Tribolium castaneum: one gene and its partner. The protein of the gene in region 2 binds, or shares a complex with, the protein of the main gene of each other region. Links are inferred from orthologs where the notes say so. Each region holds a gene or a part of one and is shown on either strand. Other genes may lie near its edges.

Region 1 (3,966 bases), on a different chromosome or scaffold from region 2:
GCCCCAAACCCGCCCCCAAACAAACTCCCTTGTGTCTGTTGACCGAACCCTCCACTAGTCCCAAAACCCCCAAACCCCCCTGTTGTTTGCGTAGCCCCAAACCCCCCAAACAACGACGGCGCACTCGTCGTAGTAGTACCCCCGAATAAACCAAACCCTCCCCCTGTTGTACTCCCCCCAAACAGCCCCCCCGAAGTGGTGGCCGTGCCCCCGAACGAAGTCCCGAATAAACTCGGGGCCGAAGTTGTCGCAGTACCGAACAAACTCGGAGCTGGGGTACTGCCAGCTCCGAATAAACTAGGAGTCGAGGTGGTGACCCCCCCGAAAAGACTTGGGGCTTGTGTGGTGGTACCGCTCCCGAATAAACTGGGGGCCGAACTAGGGGTCGAAAATAACGAGGTTGAAGTGGTGGGAGTTCCGAAAAGGGTTGGTTTGGTTGTGGAAGTACCGAAAAGGCCGCCGCCGGTCGATTGACCGAAGCCGGTACCGAATGTCGGGGCTGAGGTTGATGCTGGGGCTCCGAAAGTCGAACCAAATGCTGGAGTGGAAGTTGCAGGAGTACCGAAAGTACTACCGAAACCTGAAGATTGAGCTGGGGCTCCGAAAGTTGAGCCGAAACCGGTCGACGGCTGCGAAGTGGCTCCGAAGGAAGAGCCGAAACTGCCGAAGCCGGTACTAGCCGTGGTGGTGGTTACCCCAAATGGGGTACCGAATGCGGTGGCTGTGGATAAACATTGGAAAAACATAAAACTATGACTAGGTGTTTACAAAAATTAATAAATAATCTAAGACGATAAGAAGTGTGCGTTTTAATTCAGGAAAAATCGAATAAATTGAATAAATTCAGCGAAATTTGTAGTTTTCCAAAGGAAATGGCTACGAAACCACAATCCTGAAATTATTTATTTTTCTATTTGGGTTGTTTCAACGAAAAGAAAAGAATTTCCATGAAAAAAGTATTTGTTACGGGGAAATGACCAAACGGAAACTACTCCTCGGTAAAAAATGCAAGTCAAACTTGAACTATGCGAATACTTATCGTGCAAAAAATACGCTGTTGTTAAGACTTAAATTTATGCAAAAACGAAATAAACACGAAATAAATGAAATTATTTCAATCCTTCAAGTGTCATTCCAGTCAAATTTTTTAAAAAGAATTTAAACACGTAGATAATTTCAAAACAAGTTTTTTTCGACTGCAGTGCCGCTTTCCCAATTTGTTATCACAAAATGACGGATTTTATTTATCCCAACCACAAGAAATTGCATTAAACAGCATTTTGTGACTCATCCCCGGGTTGTTATTTTACTGCGAATGGAAGGAAAGCAGGAAAACCGTGTTCGCACATATAAACACCAGCGATAAAAATTCAAAGCGTGGAAAGAAACTTTCAGTCGCCGATAAGTTCTTGCAGAGTTAAGTGTTTTTCCTTCGCTAATAAAAAGCACAATGTCGGGCCCTACGGTGAGTTTAATTTTTATTTTTCAAGTTGGATTTAAAAATTCCGATTCTAGCTATTCTCATTTCCTATCAAAGGGGCTACTAAAAGTTTTGGAACGACCCTTCAAGTCACAGACGATCAAAACGTACTCAAAATTGGGCAGAGTTTCACTCCCCCAGCTACTACCCTCATCAGCGAAATAACCAACAGTACGGTTACTGCAGAAACTGCTACCACTCCTGAGATTTCTCAAAATATTACAACAACGATTACCACCGTGATAACCGAAGTGACCGACAGTACGACCGAAACAATCGGTATTTTTGAAAACAACATCACTTCAGCAGTGGCCGAAATAAAAAACAGTACACAAAATACAACTTCAACCCCACTTGACGTATTTTCTTCAACTACGGATGTTTCGAACCAAATATATTACGAAGGATACGACGTTGAGGGAAAAACTTTGTACGTTGTTTTGGGAGTTATAATCGTCAGTCTGCTCTTAATTATCGTCATTCTTATCGTCGTTTATAAGCGATATAAAGCCAGCCGTTCAGGATCGCTTGATTGTGCAACCGATTTGAGCCAAGTTACCATCTCAAACGGAAGAATGAAATCGTATTAATTATATTTGTGATAATCTGTTATATTTTACTATCATTATATTTTTGTTACTCGCTTAGGTAGGTTTATTTATATCCTCAAAATGTTATTGCCGAAATAAATTCTTGGTTTATAAATTATAATCTAGGTTTTTTATTGAACACGTCCAGTTTTTCATGTTTTATCAGTTAAGTAATGAAATTACTTTTGTGTACTGTGCAGCACAGACGTGACAAAAAATTTAAGTTAAACACTAAACAAAACATTTTTTAGCGATTTGTTTCAAACAAAAATTGTTGAATTGTTACTCACACGTTAACAATCATCACAATTAAATTTTATAACCATTTAAAACACCAATTAACATTTTATCTGTAAAAAGTGTGGTGATTTGTATTGTTGAGTCTGAATGGTACAAAACGCTGCCACTTTTTCGATTTTTTCTGGTTAAAAATTAAGAACACAAACATTAGTCAGGCGTTTTGGGCAAAATTAAATCTCATTAATTACGGTTTAAAGGGAAAATAAATAAAACCGTGAATACCAAATAACAAAATAGAAAGAACTTAACCTAACTTTCTTACGGTTCTAAAACTTACGTTTATTTGCCGGGCTTCCAAAAGTCGACTGGTTTGCATTTCCGAACGAAAATGCCATAACTGCATTAAATTTAACGTTAGTATTTATATAAAAATAGTAATTACAATTTTTTATGTATTCACAAATTGAACTTAACGAATTGACAGAACTGTCAAACTTCAAACCTAGGTTATACACCGGCAATTTCACAAAATTTCAGCGTTTTCTGTACAAAAAAATACGAAATCAAAAAGTCGCTCATGTGTTTATGTTAATTATCTGGAAATCTATCCATTTCAGGGTTTTACGTTTTTTTAAGCTCATTCCTTTGTATTTCAATTCGGGCTGGCGAACTTTCGGCTTTCATCCCCTTGTCAAGTGTCATTCATTCCTGACATTTGGCATTTGCAATTGTTGGGTTGTGTTTTTTGCACTTTGATATTGCAATGTTTTTGTGTTAAAATTTAGTAGCGTAAGAGTTAGCCTTGATTAGTTTAGCCGAAAAAGTGCGCATTGTTTTATGGGGTTTAAACCGCGGTAGATCCTGTGTCGGTGAATTTAATCCAATTTTTCAATGGCTGAAAGCAACGGCGAAATGGACGACGATATCATCATTAACGACCAAGACGGCCTTCCCAACGTGCACCCCAACCTGCTGGCGGAGGCCGACATCGACAGCCCCGAGCATGTGACCGACGACGAGTTCGAGGACCTGCCGACGTCCCTCATCGTCACCAACATCCACGACAGTGTCTTCACCTCGCCCGGTAATCCGCCCCCAGCCCTCACCCGATCTGACCGTAAAATTGCAGAGAAAAAGCGCGAAATGGAGAACCTGTTCCGGAACTTCGACCCGGACGTGACATTCCAGTGGCTGCGCAGTTTCCGAAGACTGAGAGTGAACTTCCAGACGCCCGTGGCAGCCGCCAGCGCCCGCATTCAGCTCCACCAATACAAAATCAACGACTCAGTGATTACGTGTTACTTTGCTCAACCCGTCACCCCCGTCAAAAACCCCAGCCTGCAGCCGCCAGCCCCCTTCAAGCAGTTCCTAATCTCGCCGCCGGCGTCGCCCCCCCTCGACTGGGAGCCCCGGCCGGAAGGTGAGCCCATTATCAATCATGACCTTCTTGCAGCTTTGGCCACCCTCACGCCGGGGGCGTCGCACGAGGTGCACCCCCCCTCCCCCGGCCAGCCCAGCATCGTGGTGCACACGGCCCTGGGGGCGGACGGCGTGGGGGCCAAAGGCAGGATGCCACAGACGTCGTGTCCGGAACGGAGTTAATGATTTGTACAGGTCTTCAAGGTTATTTTAAGTGTGAGCTTCAGAGCCTCTCAA
Region 2 (4,053 bases):
GCTCAAAATATTTCCCTTCTCCAACAATCTCTCCTTCAGAGAGTTTGGTTGAGAAGGCAAATGAACCACTTGTGACAGCAAAGTGCAAAATAAATTCAAAACCTCCTCTTGATTCTGTAAAAAAATATTAACACGATATTTGTTTATTAAAGTATCACTCACATCAGCCAAATCAAACACATCTATTGCTTCCTCGAATAATCCCTTCTTTACCAAAGAATCGCCAATCATTTGAGCAATGTTTTCCGCACTGATTTCAGCGTTAGTAAACTGGTCGATCAGCCCTTTGGTTCTTATATCATTGGGCTGAATGACCCCCAAAATCTTGTTGTACTCCTTGGTTTCAATAGCCAGATCACACACACAAATCTTGAACAAATTCACTCCATCCTCATTGGTAAAATTGCGCAAGATATAAAAGTAGTGCAACGCCTCATTAGGACAAGTTATTTCAAATTTGCGAACATAAATCATAATTAAACGCGCCAGGTTCAAGCGGCGACTTGGTTTCACATCCATTGGGTCAATACTAACTAATAAAAATCATAAGTAAACAAACAATCGCAAAAACTTTTACATACTAAGTGGTGCTGAACTGTCCCGTGAGCCAGCCAATAAGTACAACTCGTTCAAGGCAATGGCCATATGGACAGCATGAACTCGGTACCTCTCAATTCGGGGCAAAAATTCAATAGCGGCCTCAAATTGACCGGTTAATGCGAGCACTTGGAAATATAAGTGGGGTTGGTTCATGGCGTCATAATGAGCTTCACCATACTCTTCCAAAATCATCCGCTAAGGAATAGTGTATTACGTAATGTGGGAAACACATACGAGCGTTAACAACTAAATGTTACGTAAAAATTGAAAACAAATAACTTTTTCTTGAAAGTATTGGACATAGTAATGCAAATAACAATAATTGTTGCATACAATAACTAATAAACGTGTTGGGTAAAGTAAATAGTGTACACACCTGCAGGTCGTTGTACTTAATGTGGTCGTCCTTTTCGTAATCAGCTCTCACTAAGCTCAATTTCAACCATAAATAATCGTCCGCGGTTCTGGCGACTTCCGAATGCTCATCAACGACATCGCAACAGCCAAGCACCGCACAGACGATACGCTTAAAAGGGTCAGTTTCGTTACGTACATGTCTGCGATAATTGTAGCGCACATTATCCTCCAGTTTGTAAATATCTGGACTGTCAGGATTATTGAGTTTTGCTTCCAAAATAGCAACAATGTCTTGAAACTCTTTTTCGTTTTTCTTCTTTAGACAATAAATTGCTGCTGCTAAATCTCCGCTCCTTATACAGTAGTAGACCATGGGCCATAAAGGCCTTCCATCGATTTTGTCATCTTTCAAGCCCGAATATTCGCCTTGGAGGCGAACACCGACGTAACTGCGGACTAAGGGATAAGTTCCGGGAACTCCCCCAAGCATCGCAGTTGATAGGTTTTCGTTAATGATGTTACTCATATACGTCTTATATCTAGAATTATTTACCTAATTGTGGTCTTTTTTCATTGAATTAGAAAAATAAATTACCGATCTTCCAGATATTTCTTGCCTTGTTTCACCAAAGCGTTTATGAAAGGGGCAGAATTTCGAGTTTTAATCTGATCCTCTGACTGAGGAAACGGCGGCAACTGAGTCATGTATTTCATTATTTCCCACATGTCTTTAACTTTCTGAAATTTTTAAGCTTAAGAACGACTGTATGTTGTCATTAAAATTTTGTCTGATATCAAAATGAGGCAAAAACTTACGGCGTCTCTCAAGTCATTTGCCACGCTGATGAAGCTGTTTATGAGACTTGGCTTCTGAATGCTCCTGCCAATTGCTTGATTGTATTCCATAATCTTGGCGGCATAGAGAGTCTCTGCCACTCCTAAGTTGGGGGTAATAGAAATAGGCCTCTCCATAAAAACGGATGAATATTTTCCAATTTCTATGAAAGCCCCAGATGGTCCCAGCATCGAATTTAGGATTTTTCGTTTTTCTTGTTTCCATTCGCCAGTTTGGTGTTCCCAAGAGCAGTCGGAAATTGTTTTCATGCACTACAATATGTAATTATGCGTATGTACACTTTGGGAACCACGTATGGATTACTTTATTGAAACCGTTTTCAAATACACTCAAAATGCAGTTTTGGATTTCATTTTCAAGAATTCCGACTGCATTTACGTCCTCAACCGGCTCAATGGATTCGAATGTGCGCTTGGTACTAATTGATTCCAATTTTTGTATTATTTTTGGCAAGTCTACGCCTTTTGATCCTAACAATAAATTCCTGAAATTTGTTACGTCCACGTTATATTTAATTCTGTTAACAGTGAATAAGTCAAAGACATACGCTTGAATGTCCTTTGCTCCAGTTTGAGCCACTTTTGAATATAAATCGTTAGAAGCTTCCAAGACCTGCCGAATAGATCTATCAACTTTTGGCAGTTCTTTACTCCCTTCAATGTCAACAGTGATTTTTTCAGCCTCCTGGAGGAGGTCGGCAAAGTCGCCCATGTTGATATTTCTAAAAATGTTGGAAAAAATAATCAAAAACAAGAAACTAAAAGTTGGGTTAGGACAACAATATAACCTTCAAAAATACATAAAATTGATGTATTTCATAACAAGAAGCAATTTATCGGCAAAAACCTACTTGAATTGATGTTCAAACACACAATTTAAAACGTATTTTCGTGAACTTTTGTAATTCTTGTAAAAAATGCCGCTACAAACATGCAACGGTTAAAAACGATGCTGCTTATGTAACCCAAAATACACTTTTTCAGCTAGTTTCAGCACATATAGGCAACCCAAAATTTACGATTTCAGTTTCAGTGATTCTGATTGCCGACGCACTGAAACTGAACAAATCCCCAAGTTCGTTTTGTTTTTCAGTTTTCGGAATCATATCTTCTAATGTATATTTCTTAGTTTTGTTTTCGTATAATACAACTAAATTTTTATCGATTTATTGTAACATAAACCGTAAACATAAAATAGAGCGTCGATGTCGTGCTGGAAATCACTTTGAAAGCTGTTCCAGCTTTATCGATAATTCGTCCAGATAGCAAGGTAATGCGTGGGTGAAGCTTCACCTGACGCTTTTTCCAGTTGCGAGTTCGTTCTTTCTATTATTAACGCCGTACTCTGATGAAACAGACGTCGCGAAATTGAAATGTTTTGTTAATAGAATGGCTTAACATCCTTAAAACGTGTATTCTTTCTTTATCGATTATTTATTAAGTAACATTTATAAATAGCAGAATAGACTTGTATTGTGCTGTAAAGTTTTTTAACGATGGTGCGCACCTGTTATGCAATTAAATGGGGATGTAGACCTTTCATTAAGAATCACCAACCGGCATTTCAGTGTAAAAGGGTTGTGAAAAGAAGCTGCACTTCTACGGATTTTTCAGCATTAGGTAAATGCCACTGACCATAACTATTCAATATTTTAAATTAAGTTAACATATTGGTGTGTTCTATCAATATTTTATTATTATCGAGTCAGTTTTATGCCACTGTGGGATTTATTCGTTTTTTCAATCACCTAATCAACAGTTAGCATCCAGTGCAGGTATGCCTAATATTATTCGTAATAAGAGAAATGTGTTAAAGAAATACTTCTCAAATAATTTTGCTTTGTTTAACACAATGCCATTTTTTAAAGGTGGATAGTGTCTTAAAATTGTTCTTAAATTTATAATAAACATTGAATGTGCTCTCTGAATTGATTTAATGTACATCAGCAGACATTTAGAATATAATTACATAACTGCTTAAAACTAACATGTACGATGCTAATGTTAATTGAAAGTAAATACTACCACATATCATATCAGTTATTAAGTTTTAATTCCATTATAAGTCCGGGCCTGAAAGCATGCTTCAGGATGTATCTATAGCAACGCAGACTAGAATCGCCACTGCTGAAAGATCAGTACACTGTAAGCGCAGACATTTCAGCATCTACCGCGATCCTGAAAAGAACGGCAAGAGCTTTTTCGGTTATCGCGCACATCGTAATAAATAATTTTATTACT

What was found. Proteins that work in one complex are often made in the same cells at the same time.
Region 1: nuclear pore complex protein Nup93 (region 2) and Nup54 share a complex: the UniProt entries of both Homo sapiens proteins name them as parts of the p62 complex. The link is inferred for Tribolium castaneum from reciprocal best matches to the Homo sapiens genes NUP93 and NUP54.

The regions. Positions count from the first base shown.
Region 1 is NC_087397.1:2,066,920-2,070,885, forward strand, and holds the start of Nup54 (probable nucleoporin Nup54), read right to left. Parts: upstream 2,806-3,966; 5' UTR 2,706-2,805; coding exon 2,648-2,705; intron 2,192-2,647; exon of another isoform or gene 1,516-2,191; intron 1,466-1,515; exon of another isoform or gene 722-1,465; coding exon 1-721. Other genes in the region: sra (protein sarah), read left to right, coding at 3,202-3,394, 3,440-3,912. UniProt on the Homo sapiens protein: Component of the nuclear pore complex, a complex required for the trafficking across the nuclear membrane.
Region 2 is NC_087398.1:8,838,562-8,842,614, reverse strand, and holds the start of nuclear pore complex protein Nup93, read right to left. Parts: upstream 2,812-4,053; 5' UTR 2,664-2,811; intron 2,535-2,663; 5' UTR 2,525-2,534; coding exon 2,361-2,524; intron 2,298-2,360; coding exon 2,117-2,297; intron 2,065-2,116; coding exon 1,774-2,064; intron 1,696-1,773; coding exon 1,553-1,695; intron 1,497-1,552; coding exon 977-1,496; intron 796-976; coding exon 582-795; intron 534-581; coding exon 163-533; intron 115-162; coding exon 1-114. Other genes in the region: vari (protein PALS2), read left to right, coding at 3,309-3,432. UniProt on the Homo sapiens protein: Plays a role in the nuclear pore complex (NPC) assembly and/or maintenance. May anchor nucleoporins, but not NUP153 and TPR, to the NPC. During renal development, regulates podocyte migration and proliferation through SMAD4 signaling.